3 linked regions of the Elephas maximus indicus genome follow. The protein of the gene in region 1 binds, or shares a complex with, the protein of each later gene. Links are inferred from orthologs where the notes say so. Each region holds a gene or a part of one and is shown on either strand. Other genes may lie near its edges.

Region 1 (7,356 bases):
ACCACTGTGCCATCAGGGCTCCCTATATTAGATGATGCCAGGAAGATACCAGTGACTGAGATACCCACAGCCCTGTTCTCAGGGGCCCTACCATCCAGTGGAGGAGACAGACCTGTCCCCACACAGTGACAGCCCAAGTGGACAGGGCTGGGGTGGGGGGCCCCTGGGGCCTGGGAACCGAGAAGAGGTTCCTGACCCTGTCGGGGAGATCAGGGAGGACTTCCTGGAGGAGGGGACATTTGAGCTTTGATGTGAAGGGCTAGTAGGAGCTAGTGAGGCAAAGGACTGGAAGAGAGTTCCTAAGCAGAGGGGCATCTGAAGGACTGAGGGAGGGAGACTAGGAGGGCAGCAGGGAGTGAGGTGGTAGGGGACAGGCCATGCAGGGCCTTGAACACCAGGCTGAGGACCTGAGGCCATTTGAAGGCACTGGGGTGCCAGGGCAGGCGATGGACAAACTGTATTTTGCTTTTAAAAGATCTTCTGGCTGCCAAGTAAGCAATGAATTGGGAGGATGAGACAGGCAATTCTGTCCCCCAACGTTGGTCCCCTCCCTGGTTCACCCCCGGCTCCACCCCAGTCTGTTCCCCACAGGTAGCCAGCGGGACCCCGTGAACATCCAAATCAGATCACGTTCCTGCTCTGTCAGAGCCCTCCCTCCCCTGGTCCCCGTGCCACTCAGGGTAAAAGCCAAAGCCTTCCTATGTTGTCTTAGTTCTCTAGTGCTGCTAGAACAGAAATACCACAAGTGGGTGGCTTTAACACACAAATTTATTTTCTCACAGTTTAAGAAGCTAGAAGTCCAAATTCAAGGTGCCAACTCCAGGGGAAGGCTTTCTCTCTCTGTTGGCTCTGGGGGAATGTCCTTGTTTCTTCAGCTCATTTCCTGGTTCCAGAGAGATCTCCACATGGCTTCGCATCTCTCTTCCCCATCCCTGCTTGTTCTGCTTGCTCCTTTAATCTCTGTTATATTTCAGAAGAGATTGACTCAAGATACACCGTACACTAAACATGCCTCATTAACATAACAAAGACAAATGAGATTATAACCACAGGCATAGAGGCTAGGATTTACAACACATAGTTTTTGGGGGGACACACTTCATAAAACAGGGATTACAGGTCCCTGCACCATCTGGCTCTCACCCACTGCCCCTCTCTCCCCGGCACACTCCAGTCCAGCCCCACTGGCCCTACCAGGCACCCTCCAGCCTCAGGGCCTTTGCCTTAGCTATTCCTGCTGCTGGCCATGCTCTTCCACTAGATGTCCACATGGCCCCCTCGAAGCCTTTGCTAAAATGTCACCTCATTGAAGCCTTTCTGGACCACCCCTTTGTAAAACTGTATCCCCACCCCTACCCTACCCTGCTTAATTTTTCTCCAGAGCAGTTATCACCATCTGACATAGCCTGTAATTTACTTATTTACTATGTTTGCTGTCTAGGATGTCAGCTACTCAAGGGCAGGAATTTCTGTCTGCCTTACTCATGCTGGATCCCCAGCTCCTAGAACGGGGCCTGGCACAGAGGACGGGTTCTGAAGGGAGGGTGGGCCAGGGCCAGATCTCCAAGGGCCTCGGCCACCAGCCTGAGGAGCTGAGCAGTATTCTGAGGAAACCTATGGAAGGGGGAGAAAAGATGCTCGCGGTCACCAGGGGAAAGGGGGTTGGAGAAGACAAGACAGAAGGCCAGTCAGGGAGGAGTGCAGGGCGGGACCCCAGGGAGGGGAGGGGGAGGCATCCAGACAAGGCCCAAGGTGCTCATCTGAGGACTGGGGAAGCAGTGGGGCCACCCTGAGACGGGGACACGGAGGAGGAGGCCTCAGGGATGTCACAGAGGCCAGATCTGAAGGGTCTTGAGTGTCGAGGAAGTTAGACTTTATGCTGAGGATATTGGGGAGCCATGGAAGGGTTTTGAGCAGAGGAGGAACATGGATTTAGAGAGATCCCTCTGGCTGCTGTGTGGGGGTGGAGCAGGAGGTGGAAAACCAAGGAAGAGGCCTGGGAAGAACCAGGGGTGTGAAGGGAGGAGCAGGCTGGGGTCTCCATTGGGTATCAAGGGAAGGGGATTGAGGAGCAGGAGGCTGGACCATGAATATGCCAGGCGGGGCCTTGCCCATCCCCCCCTTTCCTTGCTCCCTCCGGTCCTACAGGCTGGCCCCGGCTCCATCTCCAGGTGTGGTCCCAGGACAGCTTTGGCCGCTGCCAGCTTGCTGGCTATGGCTTTTGCCACGTGCCCAGCAGCCCGGGCACCCACCAACTGGACTGCCCCACGTGGCGGCCCCTGGGCAGCTGGCGGGAGCAGCTGGCACGGGCCTTCGTGGGCGGTGGACCACAGCTGCTGCATGGGGACACCATCTACAGTGGAGCTGATCGCTACCGCCTGCACACGGCCGCCGGTGGCACCGTGCACCTCCAGCTCGGCGTGCTGCTGCGCCACTTCGACCGCTACGGCGTTGAATGCTGAGGGACTCTGCCTGCAACATCTGGCCCCCATCCACACTCTGGACACCTGATGAGGGGCAGGATGGTACAGTGGCCACGAGCATGGGATCTGGGGTCGGCAGGAACTGACTCCAGCCAAGGCATGGTGTGGCTGCTTCAAACCAGTGATTGTGCCTTTTGGCCCCAGTTTTCCCATCTGTAAAATGGGGACTGTGAGGGCGGGGTCATGGGAGCTTGGGAGAAAAGGCTGTGTAGCACATGGGAGGTGCACAATAAAGGAGAGCGATTCTTACAGGTGTATCTGCCTTCTTGACTTCATCTGACCTCTGCCCTGTGCTCCTTCCTTCCACTGACACCCTCCCTCCTCAGGGCCCACCTTTTGACAGGTCTGCTTCCCCCCTCCTCTGCCTCTCCACCTTCAATTCCTTCCTATTCTGGGTGCCTCTTCTTTGACCCCCCTTCCCACCCTGCTGTCTTTTGACCTCTTCTGCAGCCCTATCCTTTGACCCCTTTCCTGGGTACCTCTCCTCTGACCTCTCCTATGCCCCTATCCTCTGATCCCCTCTCCTAGACACCCCTGCTCTGACCTCCAATCCTGCACCCCTACGGTCTGACCCCTCTCGTCCTGGACATCCCTTCTCTGACTCACTCCCGTCCATCTTCTTTCTGACCCCCTCAGCCTCTGTCTCTTTCCCTGCTCTGGGTCACCTCTTTTCTGATCCCCTTTCCCCTGTGTCCCCATCTTTTGACTGAAGCTTCCCCGACAGGTCCTCGTTCTGTGACCCCGCACCCTAGTCGCTGCTTTTGTAGCGCTCGGCCGCCAGGAGGCAGCACCCTGTTCGTGGGGCGGAGCCGGGTGCTCGTCTCCTTCCCCCCAGGGCTGGAGGGACCCCCCTCGGAGCCCGCCCACGCGAGATGAGGATGGTGGCCCGGCCCCCCCATGCCTTCCCCCTGGGGGCCGCTCCCGCCCAGCGCGCTTCCTGGGTGGGGCCGGGGCGGCTTCAAAACTCCCCGCTGCCCCAGCCGGTCTCCGCCGCCGCAGCCTTTCGCTCCCAGGGCCGTACCCCTCCCTCCTCCCGCCGCGGATCCGCCAGACAGCGAGGCCCCCGGCCGGGGGGAGGGGGGACGCCCCCTCCCGGGCACACCCCCGGCTCTGAGCCGCCCGCGGGGCAGCCTCGGCCCGGAGCGGAGGAAGGAGCCGCCGAGGAGCAGCCCGAGGCCCCAGAGTCTGAGACGAGCCGCCGCCGCCCCCGCCGCCGCCGCCGCCACTGCGGGGAGGAGGAGCGGGAGGAGGGACGAGCTGGTTGGGAGAAGAGGAAAAAAAAGTTTTGAGACTTTTCCGCTGCCGCTGGGAGCCGGAGGCGAGGGGACCGCTTGGCGCGGCGCTGTCCCCCAGGAGTCAGGACTTGGGGACTCCGGACCCTCCCCCCGCCTCGGAAGCTCGCTCCCTCTCTGGCCCCCACTCGGCGTCCCCCAGGCGCCCCATTCCGGACCAGCCCTCAGGAGCCGCAAACCCGGACTCACACGAAGACTTTATCACCCCCAGACCTCGGGCGCACCCCCCTGCACGCCACCCTCTATTCCCAGCCTCTCTCCTAAACCCCGGAGCACCCGAGGACTCTTCTCCCCCAGGAGACGAGATCTCTCTCAGAACTGCCTCAGCTTCCCCATTCAAGGCCACCCACCCTCTGGTTTCAGATCTTGCCCATCTCGGTTTTTCACGTAGGATACCGAGGCACCCTCCCCCCGCCCCGTCAGAGCCTCCCTTCCACCCCTGCTCCCTTCTTCCTGAGGGCCTCAACTTTCCCCCCAGACCTTCCTACCTCCCCCTGGGAGACCCCAAGCCCCTGCAGGGGCGGGGCCTCCCCCAACCCCATCCCCGTTCGCGCGCTCGGCAGTGCCGGGGGGCGCCGCCTCCCCCATGCCGCCCTCCGGGCTGCGGCTGCTGCCGCTGCTGCTGCCGCTGCTACGGCTGCTAGTGCTGACGCCGGGCCGGCCGGCCGCGGGGCTGTCCACCTGCAAGACCATCGACATGGAGCTGGTGAAGCGGAAGCGCATCGAGGCCATCCGCGGCCAGATCCTATCCAAACTGCGCCTCGCCAGTCCCCCGAACCAGGGGGAGGTGCCGCCCGGCCCGCTGCCTGAGGCCGTGCTCGCCCTCTACAACAGTACCCGAGACCAAGTGGCCGGGGAGAGCGCCGAGCCGGAGCCCGAACCCGAGGCGGACTACTACGCCAAGGAGGTCACCCGCGTGCTAATGGTGGAAAGCAGTAACAGTGAGCTCCGAGGGGCAGGGGAGCCGGGAGGGGAGCCCCCAGGGGGCGCCGGAGTGCAGGGGTCAAGGGGAGGAAATGGGCCCCTGGGGGCACCGGGATCAAGGGAGGTTCCAAAGAAGGTGGGGCTGAGACCCTCGCAGGTACCAGGTCTTGAAGAGGAGGAGTTAGGGAGCCAAGTAGACTGCTTTCAGGGGGCATCAGGAACATGCGGGATTGTGAGGGGAGTCCCCTGGAGGGACAGAAGCAGTTGAGGTGGGGAAGACTAGACAAGAATGGCGGTTGTGGAGTGGGGGCTGCAGAAAGGAGAGTTCGGTTTGGGAGAAGCGAAGACCCCAGCTTTTGGGAAAGGAGAGGCACGAGGAAGTTGACCCAGAGCTCGGGGGTCGTTAGGTCGTTGGCCAGGAAGGTTAGGAAAGTGGGAGAATGGACCACTTCCAGAGGGCGCGAGGAACACATGGGATTGGGGAGGGGAGGTTCCCAGAGAGAAAAACAGGGAGAATGATAAATACCAGGAGAGAAGGACGCGGGGTCGTGGGGAGGAGGCTAGCCGGAGAGAAGCCGACGCCCCAGGGGGGTGCCGGAGATGTGCGGGAAGGTGTTGTGGGTGCTTCGCATTGGGAGGTGAGAAATAGAGGGTGGAGCCCAGCGGAGGAAGCGACCACCCAAGAAACCTAGCCTACAGGGCATGTGAAGAGGTTTACAGAGAAGGGAGACAGCGTGGGAAAGGTGGATGGAGGGGGGAGGGGAAGTAGTGCGAGCCCCTATATGCCGCGGGGTGGAAGGGAATGGGCTAAATGAGGAGTCTGGCCTTCTGAAAGAAAAAGGAGGGGTGGATGGGGACGACTCTGCAAGCGGGGAGTGAGAACACGGAGCTGGCGGGGTGAGAAAGCCCCACGTGGGCGCCACGCGCGGGGGGAGGAGCCCCGCTTCCGCAAGGGGGAAGGAGGACCCCGCGGAGTTAAAGGCTGGGAGTCAGGACCCCAAAGTCTCAGTTCCTCTCGTGGAGCCTGGGGAAACCCCAGCGTCCGGTCGCCTCACCCTCCCTTCCCGTGCCCCGAGGGCGAGGAGGGGGGGCCGGGGATCGCGCGCGGAGCCTGGGGCGAGACGAGACAGGTCTGGTCCCCGCCCTTGCCGCTGCGTCGTCGCCCGCCCTGCTCACCCCGTTGGGGGTGGAGCGACCGCTGGGCCCGCCCGTCCGCGCCCGCGCTGGGACCCTGGAGTCCCGGCGCCCCGCGTGGCCCAGAGGCTTGGGGGTGATCCCCCGGGGTTCACTTTTTCGCTAGAGCAGTAGACTTGCCGGTCCCCGGGCTGCTTGTGCGCCCAGTTTTCGGGTCCAGCCAAATAACACGCCCCTCATCTGGTTCTCTCTTCCTTTTCCGTCCTTCACCTTCGTTGTAGAGCTTTCACCGATACCCCCCTCCCGCCCCTGTTCTTTCTCTCTAGACTGTCTCTGTCTCTCCCCGAAGCCCGCGTGCCTCCCATCTGCCTGTACGCCTTTCCTATCCCCCCGTCCATCTCTTTTCCTGTCTGTGCCCTTCTTTCTGTCTCTTCAAATCTCCCTCATCCCATTACCATCCCACTCGTCTCTCTGTCCGGGTGTGGGTCTCTGGTTCCTGTCTCTCCTCTCTCTCTTCCTCTCCCCGTGTCTCCGCGGTTTCCCCATCTCTCCCTCCTCCTTGCAGCGCGCTGACCCTGCCTGTCCTTCCTTTCTTTCTCCCTATCTGTCTTGCCCAGCCCCGGCTTTCCCCTTCCCTTGGGGTGTGCTCAGTAACCGCTGGGCCAAGAGTAGGGTTTGTGTATGGGCGCAGGGCAGGGAGTGGTGAGGAATAGGGGGAGGGGGCTACAGGATGGGGTTTCCTCTGTCATTCCCCCTCAGAGCCTGTTTCCACCATCCCTCACCCCCACTATAGGAGACCCAAAGCAGTGGCTTCCAAGTTGATCCAGGAGTTTATGGTCTGCCTTCTCACCCCCACCCTTGAAATTTTCCTAGACTGGAAAATGGCCTTGTTAATTCTCTTCTTCCCCTGCAGCCATTCTTACCTAAGAATGTCATGAACTTCTCTAACCAGCTAAAGAGAGAGTTAAGGGAGGAAGCAATTAATAATAATAATAGTCATTGGCAGGGAGACAGCATAGCCTAGGGGATAAGAGCACCATTTGGGAACCGGAGGGCCTGAGTTTGAATCCCTCCCCTGCAGCTTCCTAGCTATGTGACCTTGGGGCAAATTGCTTCACTTTTGTGCCTCAGTTTCCCCATCTATAAAATGGCTATAATAGTATTTTCTTTGTAAGGTTTAACTATTTTAATGCTTGTAAAGTACTTTGAAAAGCGAGCGCTCTTTAACACACACATTATTGAGTGACTGCTGTATGTATGCAGGCTCTTGTGCTACATGTTTTCCCTGGATTGTCTCATTTATTTTGCACTGTGTTCTGCCATGGGTCCTCATTTTACAGACGAGGGTCTGCAGATCAGAGAGGGGAACTCTTTGGCCCAAGGTTACACAGCGCATCAGTAAGGAGAGTCTGGATTGGAAGGCAGGGAGATTGATGTTACGGTGATTTCCCAAAGAATAACAGGAAACCAAGGCCCAGAGAGGGGCTGTGACACAGTCTGGAGGCAGCAGAGGCATTGTCTGA
Region 2 (6,861 bases), on another chromosome or scaffold:
TCCCCCCTCTCCCTCGGGGCCTCCAGGAGCCTCTAGGCCTCTCAGCCCCTGCTCTCACTGACCAGAATCAGAGCCAGGAGCCTCCTGTGCGGTGGCCGAGGGCTACATGAGGCCTCACCAGCACATGCTTCTCTATCTTGGTCACTCCAAGTGCCTCAGTGATGAGTGACTCGCACTCACTGAGAACAGAAAACCAGCCAAGCAAGTCTCTGGACACACATGAGGGCCTTGGGGTCTGAGGACTAGGATGAGAATGTCGGTTAGCTGTGTGACTATGGGCAAGCCCCAGGATCCCTCTGAACTTCAGTCCCTCTTCTATAAAACAGGGGCAATGACAGTCCTCCCCTGGTTGGATGGCTGTGAGGAGGAGCTAGCTCAAGTAGAATGCGTGGCACCAGGCCTGGTCCTGCAAGCCCTCATTCCCATTAAACAGATCAGCTATTCCTCAGAGTGCGGGACAATCACAGTGTCTATAAACATTTGTTTCCCCAAGCATCTGATGGCTTTTGGCTCACACTCCCTAAAGCTGACACCAGCAACATTTCTTTCCCTCTCCTATTGTCCTTCCGGGAGGTGGCCTATAGCTAGTTTGGCCTAAGTCCAGCTGCCCTAGGGAGTCAGGGGAAGGTGGGCAGGGGAAGAAATGGGGAACCCAAGGTTCTGCCCCAGAAGGCAGGGCCCCAATAGGGGCTGATAAGGGAACTCCCTGACTCCCAAGGGCCCACATGAGTACTGAGCAGGGGTACGGGGTGAGAAAGGCCATACCTTTGCACCAGGATCTGGCCCAGGAGGCAGGAGACTTGGGTTCAATTATTAGCTCCAAAGCTGTGTGACATGGGCCAGTTACTTAACCTCTCTGAACCTCAATTTCCTTGTAGTCACTGAAAGTAAAGACAACTAACCAGAAGTTTTCTGTGGCTGTCTTTACCTGATTTGCCACATGAGATGAAGGGTTGGCCCAGAGTCGGTGTTCGGCAAAGAGCAATAGAAACTGAATAGGGGATCTAGGGCACCATGGTCCTTCTGACTTCAGATCTACAGCTAGATGAGGACAGCAAGGCTCAGAGAGGTTGAGTAACTTGTCCAAGGCCACACAGGACATGTCCATCATTGCCTTCCGGGGCCACCTGCTCCTATGTGGGACCCTTGGCTTCATGCTGGCCTGAGCTAAAACATTGCCGGGGAGACTTAAGACCTGACTTGGATCAGTTGGTGCCTGAGAGGGTTTTCACATCTCTGAAACAGATGTGCCTCCTATCTTCACTGGCAGAGAGGAAGCATTTTGACAAAGACACCAACACTGTGAAGTCTGAACTGTCCCTGGGTGGCATGTCCAGAACTCCCTACTCCTGGAGGTATGCAAGCGGGGGCTGAGCAACACTGGGTAGAAACTTGGCCTTCCTGGCCTTTAAAGAGTGCCCCCTTCCACAACGGGTTACCAAGTAAATCCAGCCTTGCTCATTCCCACCTACCCCCTCCTCCTTCAGAGCTGCAGACTCGATCTCAGTCTTGCAGACTTTGCCTTCGAGTCCCCTAGGCACTAGTCATCCTCTGTGTTCTCATCTGCCTCCCCTCTGGTCTGGGAGCTCCACAAGGGCAGGCACTGGACATTTTCATTCACCAGCTACCCAGGGGCCCCCAGGAAAGGAGGTCATGGTTACTGAGCAAGTACCAGGGGCCAGGCTTCTGACCAGGTACTTTAAACATGTTGTGGTTGCATTGATCTTCACAACAAGCCAGGACCTTAGGTGCTATTATCATTTTCACTTTGCAGATGAGAAAACTGAGGTCAGAAAGGTCACACAACCTGCCAAAAGTCACACAGCAACAAGACTGCTGAAGAAGTGAAGTGATAAAAGAATGGGTGCCGAGCATGTGGGGTTCCCGGCTTTTAGGGCCCCTAGTCCCAAGAGGTATCTGCAGTGGGTGGGCACACTTGGTTGCCCACCTGTTTCCAACTCCTGGGGAGCCCCATCCGGGCAATGAGTGAGGTGAAACCCCATGATCTAACTAACCACAACCACAGCCTTTGGTGTGGGGGGTATGCAAGGTGGGCCACTCACCTCCAGCCTGACAGAGCTCCAGCCCTGCCCTGCCCCAGCCTCAGCAAAGCTCTGGGCCAGCAGTTTCTACTTGGCGGCAGCTCCAGGAAGGAAAGGGTGAGGTGGCACTCAGCCGGCCTGGGCCTGGAGCAGGGTGGGGCAGACGAGCCCAGGAACTGCCTGAATCCAACTCAGTCATGTTCTACCTGAGCTGAAGGGCTGCTGCAAGGCACTTCCCTGGATATTTGTCCCCTTGGACAAGGACATGGGTGCAGGCCCCAGGCTCACCCCATTACACTTCGTTCTGGCACCAACCTGAGAAGTGGCAACTATCTTCTCCACTTGAAGGACAGGCAAACTGAGGTTCCCTTTGATCAGATGGAGCACCAGGGCCCAAAGGGGGCTTGGTTTGGGTCAGCTGGAATGACCCCTATGAGCAGAGTACTGCGACTTCCTGTGACTGGGAGGAAAGCGGCAGGTCTGGGTACCCTTCCCAGATCCTGCCCTGGTCCCTCACCTGTAACCTCCTACCCACCCCCTCATCGCAGCTTCGGCCCTCTCCTTAGGGAAGCCTTCCCTGATTTCCTCTTCTGAGGTTGGTCAGGACCCCAGGCCACCTGCTGTCACCTCTTGTCTTCGCTGGGCTGTCCCCATCTTCCCAGATTAGTCTCCACATAGACCAGACGGCAGAAAGGAAAGGTAGCAGCCATCTAGACTTCAAGGAGCCCTGGTGGCAGAGTGGTTGAATGCTCAGCCGCTAATTGAAAGGTTGGCTCCATGGGAGAAAATATGGCAGTCTGCTTCCATAAAGATTACAGCCTTGGAAACCCTAAGGGACAGTTCTACTCTGTCATATAGGGTTGCTAAGAGTTGGAATCAACTCCACGGCAATGGGTTATCTAGACTTCAGGGAACCTGGCTTTTAATTCTAGCCTTACTCCGATTTGCCGCAAGGCTTGGGTGGTCACTTTCCCACCTGGAAAATGGGGACACCCACTCTCAGGGCTGGTGACCATCAGGGAAGAAAAGGATTGCAGAAGATGAAGTTTCTACCCTAAGAACCAGGGCCTGGGGGACAGCAGTGATTCCTCCCCCAGGCACCCCCCTCCTTGGACCCACATCCAACAGTACCTGTAATTTGGTAGGGCCAAGGCATTTAGAAGAAAGATGGTTTGGGGGAAGATTTTCTTCAACCTCTGATGAAGAAGGCAATAATAATACCCACCCCCTCCCCCCCGCCCCCCCGCCCCCCGCCGCCCCACACACAAATTTCCACAGCACTTAAAAAAAAAAAAAAAAAAAACCCAGGCCAGACGGTGCCTGGAAAAGACACCCAAACTGACCTGGACTCAGCTTTGTGGACACACTGGGTTTGAAGCCTTGCTTCTTACAGGCGGTGTGATTTTCAATATGCCATTTAACCTTTCTTACTGAGTTTCCTCAACTATAAATGGAGACCTTAAAAGTCCCAGAGACTTTTGGTTTTTATTTCTCTATTCACTGCCGCCACCCTTAGCCTCAGTTTCTCCATCTGAAAACTGGGGACTTTGACGGTACTGCTTTACAGGGTCTGTTAGGGGCCCAGGAGACGATGGCGGAGGGCGCATCTTGACACTAGAGACGGCGCAGAGAGGGGCAGCGGCCTGCCGGGACTCAGCAGCAGGGACCCGAGCGTCGCTGTGCGGGGAAGCCCCTCCAGGGCCGCCTCAGGGCCAGTGAGGGGTCATTTCCTTCCGCGTTCAGCCACACCGCCACCTCTCCTGGTGGCCCCCCTTCAGTGCGGTGGCGCCGGCAGCGGGGAAGTCGGGGCCAGGCCGGATTTCCTCTGCGGACCTGCGGCTCCTGGAGCCACCCGCCCCTCCAGACCCCGCGGGGCGCCGAACTGCACGTGCAGCCGCCCGGGGCCGGGCTCGCTCCTGCGGCGCTTCCTTTCCACCCCTCTCTCTCTCCCTGGCCCTTTCATCCCGCCCCCTGCGCCCCTTCCCAGCCCGGCTTCCCGCGTAAAGAAGATGCTTCAGCCCATCTGCCAGTTCCGGATAAACCGAGTCCCACGGGGGCGCGCGACCGGCGCTAGGACCCCGCGGCCTCGCCGAGGGGGGCGTGGTGGGGCGGGTCGGCGGGAGAGGCTTTTAAATTGAATCCGCGGCCGCCCCCTCGCGGGTCCCGCTCCCTGGGGCAACGGAGCGGCGGTGCGCCTCCTCCGGCCGTGACCTCGGGGTCTGGCGCAGGGTGGGACCGGGGGACAGGTTTGCGCAAAATGTTCCGGGACCGCCGAGGAGAGGAGCGGCGGCCGCGCTGAGCCAGGTAGGAGCCGCCCAGGGGGCGAGGCTGGCTGACCTCCTCGGGGAACAGACGGCCCGTGCCCCTCGAGCGTACGAGGGCTCGAAGCTGGAGTGGGGCCACCCTGGGAAGAATCAGGACCCCCTGCCCAACACTTCCCTCCCACTCTCGTCGGGGTTGACACTCCCTCAGCCCCGAGAGGTCTCCAAGGCGGCTGTCTCATTGGATCTTTCAGGCAAAGGGGCGAGTTCGCTGTTCCTATTTGACAGATGGGCAAACTATGGCGGAAAGGCCGAGACTTGCCCAGGAACAAACAGCTAGTGAAGGGCAGATCAGAATTTGATTCCAGGTCTCCTGCCACCCTCTGACCCAGGCCCGGGCACAGGGCTTCCCATCCCACACCCCCAGACAGCCTGCCATCTCTCAGGAGGAAGGAGGAGTTTCCCACCTCTGCCAGGCCTCTGAAGGCAGCCTTCTCCATGGGTGGTAAGATGTGAGGGACCCCTACCTCCACTCCAAGCTGCCTGAAATTCCACCATCCCAGCCACATTCCTTTGGGTTAAGGTCTAATTCCCCCGTGGGATGCACATATCTCCAGAATGGGACTTGCCCTTCGTGATTCACGCTTGGTGTGAACGGTCCACATCAGCTCTCCCAGAAACCCTGCTCTGCCAGTAAGTTCCATCGGGGCTGAGAGGAGGGAGAGGAAGCATCCCAGAGCCCAGCAGTGTGAGAATGTCTGTGTGTGTACTGGTGGGGGATCGTAGGCGGGGAGGGGAGGGAGTTTGGGAGAAACATCTTGGGCTCGTGGAGTGGAAACACTGAGAGAGAGTGGCCCTTATGGAGCCCTGGTGGTGCAGTGGCTAAGTGCTAGTTGGCTAACCAAAAGGTCAGCAGTTAGAATCCACCAGCCACTTCTTGTAAACTCTATGGGGCAGTTCTACTCTGTCCTATAGGGTCGCTATGAGTTGGAGTGGACTCAACAGCAATGGGTTAAGGGTGTCTTAGGTGCGGCTGAGGGGCCCTTTCCATCAGGTGCCAGGGCAGAATTCCTGCATGCTGCAGGGCAGCCCCTTCAGGGCTCAGAGAAGCTCACTTTGGGGTGGCTTGGGGTGGGGTTTGGCAGGCAGAGGAGAGAACATAAGGGCCCTTTGGGCGACTTCTGCCTCCAGGCTCAGAACTAAACCACTTGGTCCATCCTTGTTGTCACCTCCCACTCACCACTCAGCCCACTGCAGTCAAGTGTCTGCCCCCACTTTGCCACTCATTCAGTAGACCCTTAGTGAGCGCCTGTGTAGTAAGTTCCTGTTCTCATGGCATAAGAAATAAATTATCAGGTAGTGATAAAGGCTAGGAAAACAATGAAATATGTGAAGATCTGGGGAAGAGCATTCCAGACTGAGGGGTCAGCAAGGGCAAAGGCCCTGAGGCCGGATCAAAGGCTGGGCCTTGGCGAGGGCCGAGAAAATGGTAGATGCAGTCAGAGAGAGTTTTGGGCACAGTCTGTTATTTTAAGGGAGATGGGAAACCATGGAGGTTTTTAAGCAGTTAAAGATTCATGATCTGATATGTGATTTTATGATTTTAAAATATCACTCTGGCTGCTACGTATAGAACAGATTGTAAGCCTCAGGGCGGAAGCAGGGGAACAAACTGGGGAGGCTGGTGCTGTGATGGAGGCCCAGGATCCTGGTGGTGCCTCAGCCTGTGGCGGTGATGCAGGAGGGAGTCGGCAGGTCTGGGAGCTGTTTTGCAGGGAGAGCAGACAGACTCTGCCGATGGGGAGAGGGAATGTGGTAGGGAGGTGAAGGGAGAGTCAAGGAGAATAACTGCTCTTGCCAGTGTCACCCTATCACCGAGACACTCCTATCCCTGCCTGCCCCAGATGGGTCCCAGAGAACAGTGAGCACCCCATGCCCTATAGGCAGTTCCCCTAGGGGGAAGGTGCTGTGCTCACTGGAAGCTCAGGGGCTGCCGGAGCCATATGTAGCCCAGACTTGGAGAACCAGGTAAGGCTTCTTGAAGGAAGCTGAGACCTGAAGGGTGAGGAGAGGAGAGGAAGTGAAGGTTTGGGGCAGTGGAAAGGTGCTCAGAGAGCTGACGGAAGTACAAGGCATCCAGAAGTCAGAGTGGGAGAGAGGGCCGTGAGAAACAAGGCTGGAGGGGGCTGCTGGCTGGGCAGGGCATGCTTCTGAGGACCTCGAAGGCCCCCACAGAGGGATTTTCACTCAATTCTGAGGCAACTAGCTTTCAAACGGGTTGTGTTGTTCAGCTTTTTAAACAGCAGAACAAAATCTCGTGAGAAAGCCCAACTTGTAAAACCTGAGCATAGAGCAGCTGTGGGGGCCTGAGGGAAGCCCAGGGAACAAGGTTTAAAGGACACCGTGGTGGCCCTTGGTGTCTGAGCAAGAAAGGGCCTCAGAGCAGCCTCCTGCATTTGAAATTCATCCTCATGGAATTTGTCTGACAGTCAAAGACACAGCCTCCAGAGGCCCTGTCAATGCTTCTTCAAAAGCATCCTTCAGACTCTCTGAGAAAA
Region 3 (6,995 bases), on another chromosome or scaffold:
ATCCCTGTCTCTGCCCATCTGAATTCTAGCCACCCTTCAAAAACAGCTTAAGTCCTAAAGTGTCCAGGAAGCCTTCCGCAATCACTTCAGTCTGTACTAATCATTTTCCTCTTTGAATACTGAAGCCTCTATGGGTGACAGTAAAAATATGTAACAACTGGCATCGCTAGGGTACCAACCAATCAGAACTGCCAACCTTTCTGGTGAGCAGCTGAGCTTTTAACCACTGCCCACCAGGGCTCCACCCCCAAAAGGGGACAAAATTAATTATGCAGTGGAAAGACTGAGCAGTCAGGAGTCAGGGGGAAAAGAGAAATCGCTGGAACTGAGGGTTTGCACTAGTGAAAGGGTGAGATTCTCTGGTCTGATACTCAGAGATGGTTCTAATCATGGGTCTCAAGTATATGCTCTAATGGCTGAATACAAATAGGAAGTCTTGTAAACCCTTCCTGGGGATCACTGAGGAAGATTAGTTTGGCAGCAGCCTGTAGAAAAGACCAGATGAGAGAAACAATGGAAAGCAACTAGATTCGAGGGATAACGGGCAGCTGGCTGCATACAAAGAGGCATACTTAAGAGGCATTAATAAAAAAAAAGAGTTGGGTTTTAGGCATGTTTTCAAAGAAAAAAAAGTTATGAAATGGCAGAAAAGAACCTGCATTCTCAAATGGGATATATATGTAAACATAGTGGTATGAAACTCTGCACTAGGGATAGGAAACCATTTTCCCTAGAGAAATCTATGCTGTAGAAAGCAGAAGCCAGGCAGAGAAATATAAAATTAACAGCCAGCCGATAAAGAACTACAAGTTCTTGAATAAGGAAGGCAATTATAAAGAAAAAAAAGCTTCTGAGCTTAGCTTCTTCCGTATGTACAAAAAGGATGAACTGAAACATCAATATGAGCAATCAGGGCAGGCAGACTAGTTGACGTAGTCTGGGCTTGGAGTAATAAGCATCTGGATCAGCTTTCTATCGTATGCATGCCAATGTATTCTGTAAACTCCTTCAGGGCTTGGGTTGAGCAATGTTCTGTACAGCCAATTAAGTCTAATACTGTTACCTGAATACATGAATATTCTGTCCTACAATAACTGGAAAAGAGTGAATTACGTTATTCAAGTTAATAGTGATGTGGAAATGTCATTTCTGTTTGATGTATAACTATGCTGATTCTACCACAGGTCCACACAATTATCTCCTCTCCCCGAGGCCAGTATCAAAAATCCATTGTTTTTTCTTGTAGTTTCAGTGTGAAGGGACTCAGGAATGTGCTGGCAGTTAGAAAGAAGGCAACCTGGTATTCAAATTTTGAAGCCAAAATCTAAAAGTGAATAATAAAGATCAATCACTATCAGATGACTGAACAAGAAAAATGGGCCGGGTAAGACAGTCTGGCATATATAAGGTGTACAGGCTTTGGAAACAGAGCCCTGGATGCAAAGATGCAAATCCTAACTGTAGCACTTAGTAAATGAGTACTTAACCTCTCGCCTCAGTTTTCTCATCTATAAAACGGGGGCAAATGCCACTAGCCTTGAAGATTTAGTTGTGAGGATTAGCTGAAGTACTTTAGTGTACTTTATGCACCTACATCATAGTAAGCTCTTAAAACACAGTAGCTATTCAGACTAATAATTGACACCCTCAGCCTTGGGTTGAGTCTTTTGTTTTTTATACAGGGTGTCCGATTTCAGAAATAGGAATGTACTTTTACTATATTTCAGTTGCTAAAACTAGGTCCATATTTTAGCTTCTAGTATTGTCATTTGGTTTGTAACACGAAGTTTTTCACCCTGTACTCCATTTGGGTAGATAACCACCTACCCCATCCTGATTGAGTATTTTGGAAAACCAAGCAAGCATTTTCCCTTGAAAACCAGCTATGCAGATGACTGATTCAAACTACTGTCACTGGGGAAAAGAAAGATCACTAGCATTCTTCTTCGAGGAAATAAAAGCTTTTGATAAATTCACAGAGTAATTCTCATTCAAACATTCCAAACCCCGCAGAGTGAGCAAACGTTCCATTTTTTACTATGAAAACAATCCGTAGCCGTCTGGTTACTGGATTCGCTTCAACACTTTCCAGACGCACGAAAGAAGAAACATTCCGCACATCTTCGTCCGCCTCCTTCCACACAAAGCTTCGCAGCTCCCTCGCCAAAGGCACCCCAGGCTGTGGAAGCAGCCTCTCTGAGCAGGACCGGGCCGGGGCCAAAGCTGGGGGCAACCCTAATGACCCGGGGGTCTCAGCCACAGGTAGCCCCCTCTCACCGCCCGGGGAAGCCTGAAGGCTCAGAGCTCACACTCTGCCTGGGAAGCTTCTTTGGACCCCAACCCCGCCCCGGACCCCTGGGGCCTCAGGCACCGACTCGCTTGGGGTGGGGATACCAGGGACAAGGCTTCACAGTTCCCTCGGCGGAGGTCAGCGGAAGGCCCTGCTCTGCTCGCCCGGGCCACCCTCGCACCCTCAGTCCTGGGCCCTCACTCACTCACACCCCAGAGCGCAGCCCCCGGCCTCGGACGGCTCCGCCCGACGCCACCTCTCCGGGGGAGCGCCAAGTGGGGCGGCCTCGGGCTGCCGGGCGTCCACCCGCGCTCGGACACACGCCCCCGTCCAGCCTCCCCACCGCGCCTGCGGTTCCGTGGCGGGGGCCTGGCCGCGCCGGGCCAGGGAGCCCAACACGCGCCCAAGTCCCGGCCCCGGCGCCGCCACCTGCGCCCCCGGCCCGCGCCATGTTTGAGAAAGAGAAGGAGCGAGCCAGAGGCCGGGCCCTGCCTGCGCGCCCGCCAGCCGCCCGCCAACCCGGCCGCGCCGCCACTCACCCGTCGTCCCTGGGACCAGCGTCGCCGCCGCAGCTAGCACGAGGAGGAGCAGCCCGGGACGCGGAGCAGCAGCCGCTGCCTCCATGGTCCCGCCGCCGCCGCCGCCTGTGGCCCGGCCCGGCCCGGCCGCCGCCTCGCCTCAGCAAGCCTCGCCTCGCCCCACCTCCCCTGCCGCCGCCGCCGCTGCCGCCGCCGCCGCCACCGCCGCGGCCTCGCTTCAGCCCTTTGTAACTGCTCCGGAGCCGCGAGTCCATTGGCTGCCAGGCTCCCGCCGGCCCCGCCTCTCCGCCGTCTGCGAACCGCCCAGCGAAACCCAGCCGGGAGCCCCGCCCACGGGCCCAAGTGGCAGCCAATCCCGAGCTGCGGGGCACGGCCGCCGACCACGCCCCCAGCACTCCCCCTGCGCAGGGCGCCCAGACCCCAAGCCCAGCCCGCGCTGCTCCGGGCTCGGAGGCGGCCGGGTGGGGGCAGGGTCTCGCCAGCCCCGGTGCGAGGGCGTCTCTTGTCCCGGATGGGCGAAGGCTGAGAGACGGGTCTGTCTGTGAGTCGTCGGAAAAAGGCTGTGGCCCCTCGACTGTCTTTTAGCTTCCTCTAGACACCAACGACCTGGCACTGACCTCCACCCCAACCCCAACACATTCTGCCCAGATCCGCAGTGTCCTCAGGCTTCAACTCTCCGTCCCCAGGTCCGCGCTTCAACTTTCAACATCTGCCCCCTCAAAACCCTTTCTCGGTGCCCTTCCTTTACGACTCAGTCTCCTGTTTACTCCTGCTCTAGCCCAAGTTCCAGGCTCAGAAAATTCCCAAATCCTAGTCTCAGAGCCCAGCCTCGGACCCAGATCCTGAGCTCAGACACACCCCCCAATAGCCTCCCTCCAGAACTCAGAGAAGACTCAGGCCTTCAAACTATTCGTCTTCCCCGTTCTCCCTTCCTGATCCAGGTTGGAAAGGGAAGCCCCCACCCCACCAAAGGAGGAGGATTCCCCTTCTCAGCACCCGCTCCCACGGGGCGTAGGAGAAGCAGGCATTACCTTGAGCTGTCTGACACGCCCATACAATAATTCTGAGGTGTCACTGAAAACCCAGATAAACTCAACTACGTTTTCATTCTGAATTCCTAATTTACTGTGAGGCGCTCCACCCACCTTCCCGCTGGGACACCGAAATGAGCTCCAGATTTATAATTCTTCCTGTCAGACTGATCCTTTCTTCAGACACAAACACAGCCAAGGAGGCTGTTACATAGAACAGAGAACATTCTTCCGCAGAACCTTTTAAGGAGAAAACAGTTCTATTTTCTGTGTGATTTGAACTTGGAATTAAATAAATGTTGGTTGAAAGACTCATACCCAACCTCAAGTAAACTACTTTAGCGCTATTGGCTGAGCCTTTTACCCACCTATTTAGACTTTTTTTTTCAGTGAGCTGTCAAGTGCGAGGGCTGGGGGCATTGGACTAGAATCTGAGACCTGCTCTAGTCACTCCTGATGAGAACACTTAGCCTTTCTGAGCCTCAGCTTCTTCTTCTATAAATCGGAAATAATATCTGCCTCCCAAGGTTACTGAAAGACTATGATGAGATTTTGGGGTTCCCTTAGCCCCTTTTAAGTTCCATTTCAAAGTACTCCCTTCAGGCCCCTGCCTACTCCCCACCGCCCAGAAAGGTAAAGGCATGGTATTCACTGAGCCGTGGAAACTTCCCGGTGGAGCTCTGGACCACCAGCCACAAGCTCTACTCCTCCTGGCTGCTGGCAGGCAGAGATGCTGCTGTTGGCAGGCTCCAGCCCCAGTCTGCTCTCTCAGTCCTCAATGGAAACTTGGGTAAACCAGGGCCCCGTGACACACAAGGTCTCTGGACTGTCTTTTCGATGCTTTATTCTCAATGTCTTGCATAAAATAAGAGCTCTCAAGAGATATTTATTGTACAAACGAACGAACGATTCGCCTTTGAAAAGTGACTGTTCTCTGAACTTTAGGTTCCTCCTCTGTAAAGTAGAGATAACCGTGCTGTAATGCCTACCCCATTTGTAAATAAAAAGGGATTGAATCATATGTCTTGGATTCCCTAAATGATGCGCTGTGTCTGGAACAGTGTCTGGAACATAGTAAATATTTAGTTAATGCCATTTCCTTTGCATATCCCCCTTCCAGCTCTGTATGATTCTATCCAACATTTATGTTCATATTAATCTGTGCCTTTGCTTTACAGAGCCTCAGTCAATCCATGTTAAGATATCTTCCATGACACACCTCCAGTTCCTTAACATTTTCCATGGAACTGACTGCGTTCAATAGAAAACTGAGGAAGAGGAAGGAGGAACAGAGTATTTTTAAATTTTATTTTCCTGATATTTGGAGGAAATTTCCATGAGCCACGGATCCACAAATAAACTACATTGGAATAGACCAATAAATTGTAACTTTAAAATGGTGGTTGTGAGACCTTAAAGTGTCTCCAGATTACCTGGGAAGCTTTTAAAAATGAAGATCCCAGGGGTCTAGCCCCCAGAGTCTGGCTTCAGTTGACTTAGAGGGGGCCCATAAATTTGCATTTGCAAAAAGCACCCCAGGTAATTCTGCTGCAGGTGGCTGCCATGCTACATTTTGAAAGTGGTTTAGAAAGTATAACCTTAAAATTCAGTAAATTAAAATGAATGAGCTTGTTCCACCTTTGGAGAAAAGATGAACAGTGGAAAGAAGCCTTTGACTTTGGGGGCCTGCAGACTTTAGTTGGAATTCTGGCTCTGCCACTTACTAGATCTGTGCACCAATGTAGATGCTCTGAGATTTAGCAAGCTCCAGTGCAAAATGGAATAATATTCACATATTGTTCCTACTCATATATTTGTTATGATATCTAAATGAGCTCTTGAACATAAGCAATTTATCATAAAACCTAATTCCCATAATAGGTTCTATAGGCTTGTAGGTTATCTACTCCAATGTCTAACTTACAGGGGAAGAACCCGAAAACCAGTTCCCCAGCAAGTCTGGTGCAGAGCCAGGACTAGGAGACTCACTGCAGTGCTTTGTTCCCTGCACAATACTACTTCTCATTCTTTATGCTGAGTACATTGTGTTTGCTTTTCCTTCTGTTTTCATATTTACCCCCGTATAGAGCACGGAGACTCCTAGTTGCCTAACTTACGTCCATTTCCCCATATGCTTTATAACAGAACCCTGATTTACTTTGCTAAAGAAATCCACCTAGCTAAAAAAAAAAAAAAAAAAAAACCTCAATTTTCCAGGCTTCCTTGCAGCTAGGTATGGCCATGTGACTGAGTTGTAGTCAGAGAAATATAAACAAAATCTGTCAAGTGGAGCTTGTGGGAAAGATGTGGTTTTTCTCATAAAGAGACAGATTCATCACATTCTTTCCTTCCTATTTCTGCCTGCGACACAGTTTTAATGCCTGGAGTTACAGTAGCCATCTTGTGAACATAAGGATGATGGCCATAAATGGAGATGGAAGGTAGAAAAGAAAGATGGAGAGATAATGGGTCCTTGTGGACATCAACTTTTTTTTAAGTATCTGTCCAAGTCTTTTGCCCAAGTCTTTTTATTAACGATTTGTAATATATATCTATAACCCAAACCCACCCCAGTACCGTCAAGTCGATTCCAACTCATAGCGACCCTATAGGACAGAGTAGAACTGCCCCATAGAGTTTCCAAGGAGCACCTGGTGGATTCGAAATGCCGACCCTTTGGTTATCAGCCATAGCACTTAACCACTATGCCACCAGGATTTCCTAATATATATCTATATAACCCGTATATGAGTCTTTTGCTGGATATATGTATTGCAAATGTTTTTGCTCAGTCTGTTATTTTCTTAACATTGTTTTCCCAAGAACAGGAGTTTTATCCCTGAGGGACTGAATTACTGGGCTGAGGGCTGGGGACCGTGGTCTCAGGGGACATCTAGCTCAATTGGCATAATGCAGTTTATAAAGAAAATGTTCTACATCCTACTTCAGCGAGTAGCATTTGGGGTCTTAAAAGCTTGTGAGTGGCCATCTAAGATAACTGCACTGGTCCCTCCCCATCTGGAGCAAGGGAGAATGAAGAAAACCAAGGACGCAAGAGAAAGATTAGTCCAAAGGACTAATGGACCACAACTACCACTGCCTCCACCAGACTGAGTCCAGCCCAACTAGATGGTG

The links.
Region 2: the proteins of TGFB1 (region 1) and LRRC32 are in contact, whole or in part, in a cryo-EM structure (PDB 8VSC), measured with the Homo sapiens proteins. The link is inferred for Elephas maximus indicus from reciprocal best matches to the Homo sapiens genes TGFB1 and LRRC32. Residues at the interface, in NP_000651.3 of Homo sapiens: Leu30, Ser31, Thr32, Cys33, Lys34, Pro325, Pro327, Tyr328, Ile329, Trp330, Ser331, Leu332, Thr334, Gln335, Tyr336, Val339, Leu342, His346, Ala353, Pro354; in NP_001122394.1 of Homo sapiens: Ser135, Tyr137, Glu158, Ser160, Thr162, Val184, Met186, Asp187, Ile188, Glu189, Asp190, Phe193, Leu202, Leu204, Arg206, Asn207, Ser208, Leu209, Thr210, Cys211, Ile212, Ser213, Asp214, Phe215, Ser216, Leu217, Leu223, Leu225, Cys227, Ser229.
Region 3: the proteins of TGFB1 (region 1) and TGFBR1 are in contact, whole or in part, in a crystal structure (PDB 3KFD), measured with the Homo sapiens proteins. The link is inferred for Elephas maximus indicus from reciprocal best matches to the Homo sapiens genes TGFB1 and TGFBR1. Residues at the interface, in NP_000651.3 of Homo sapiens: Ala279, Leu280, Asp281, Asn283, Tyr284, Tyr328, Ile329, Trp330, Gln335, Lys338; in NP_004603.1 of Homo sapiens: His39, Leu40, Thr42, Lys43, Phe55, Asn68, Met70, Ile78, Phe84, Val85.

The regions. Positions count from the first base shown.
Region 1 is NC_064829.1:109,836,967-109,844,322, forward strand, and holds the start of TGFB1 (transforming growth factor beta-1 proprotein), read left to right. Parts: upstream 1-4,355; 5' UTR 4,356-4,361; coding exon 4,362-4,716; intron 4,717-7,356. Other genes in the region: B9D2 (B9 domain-containing protein 2), read left to right, coding at 2,149-2,462. UniProt on the Homo sapiens protein: Transforming growth factor beta-1 proprotein: Precursor of the Latency-associated peptide (LAP) and Transforming growth factor beta-1 (TGF-beta-1) chains, which constitute the regulatory and active subunit of TGF-beta-1, respectively.
Region 2 is NC_064825.1:45,847,934-45,854,794, forward strand, and holds the start of LRRC32 (transforming growth factor beta activator LRRC32), read left to right. Parts: upstream 1-3,859; 5' UTR 3,860-4,808; intron 4,809-6,861.
Region 3 is NC_064827.1:48,995,633-49,002,627, reverse strand, and holds the start of TGFBR1 (TGF-beta receptor type-1), read right to left. Parts: upstream 3,003-6,995; 5' UTR 2,915-3,002; coding exon 2,830-2,914; intron 1-2,829. UniProt on the Homo sapiens protein: Transmembrane serine/threonine kinase forming with the TGF-beta type II serine/threonine kinase receptor, TGFBR2, the non-promiscuous receptor for the TGF-beta cytokines TGFB1, TGFB2 and TGFB3.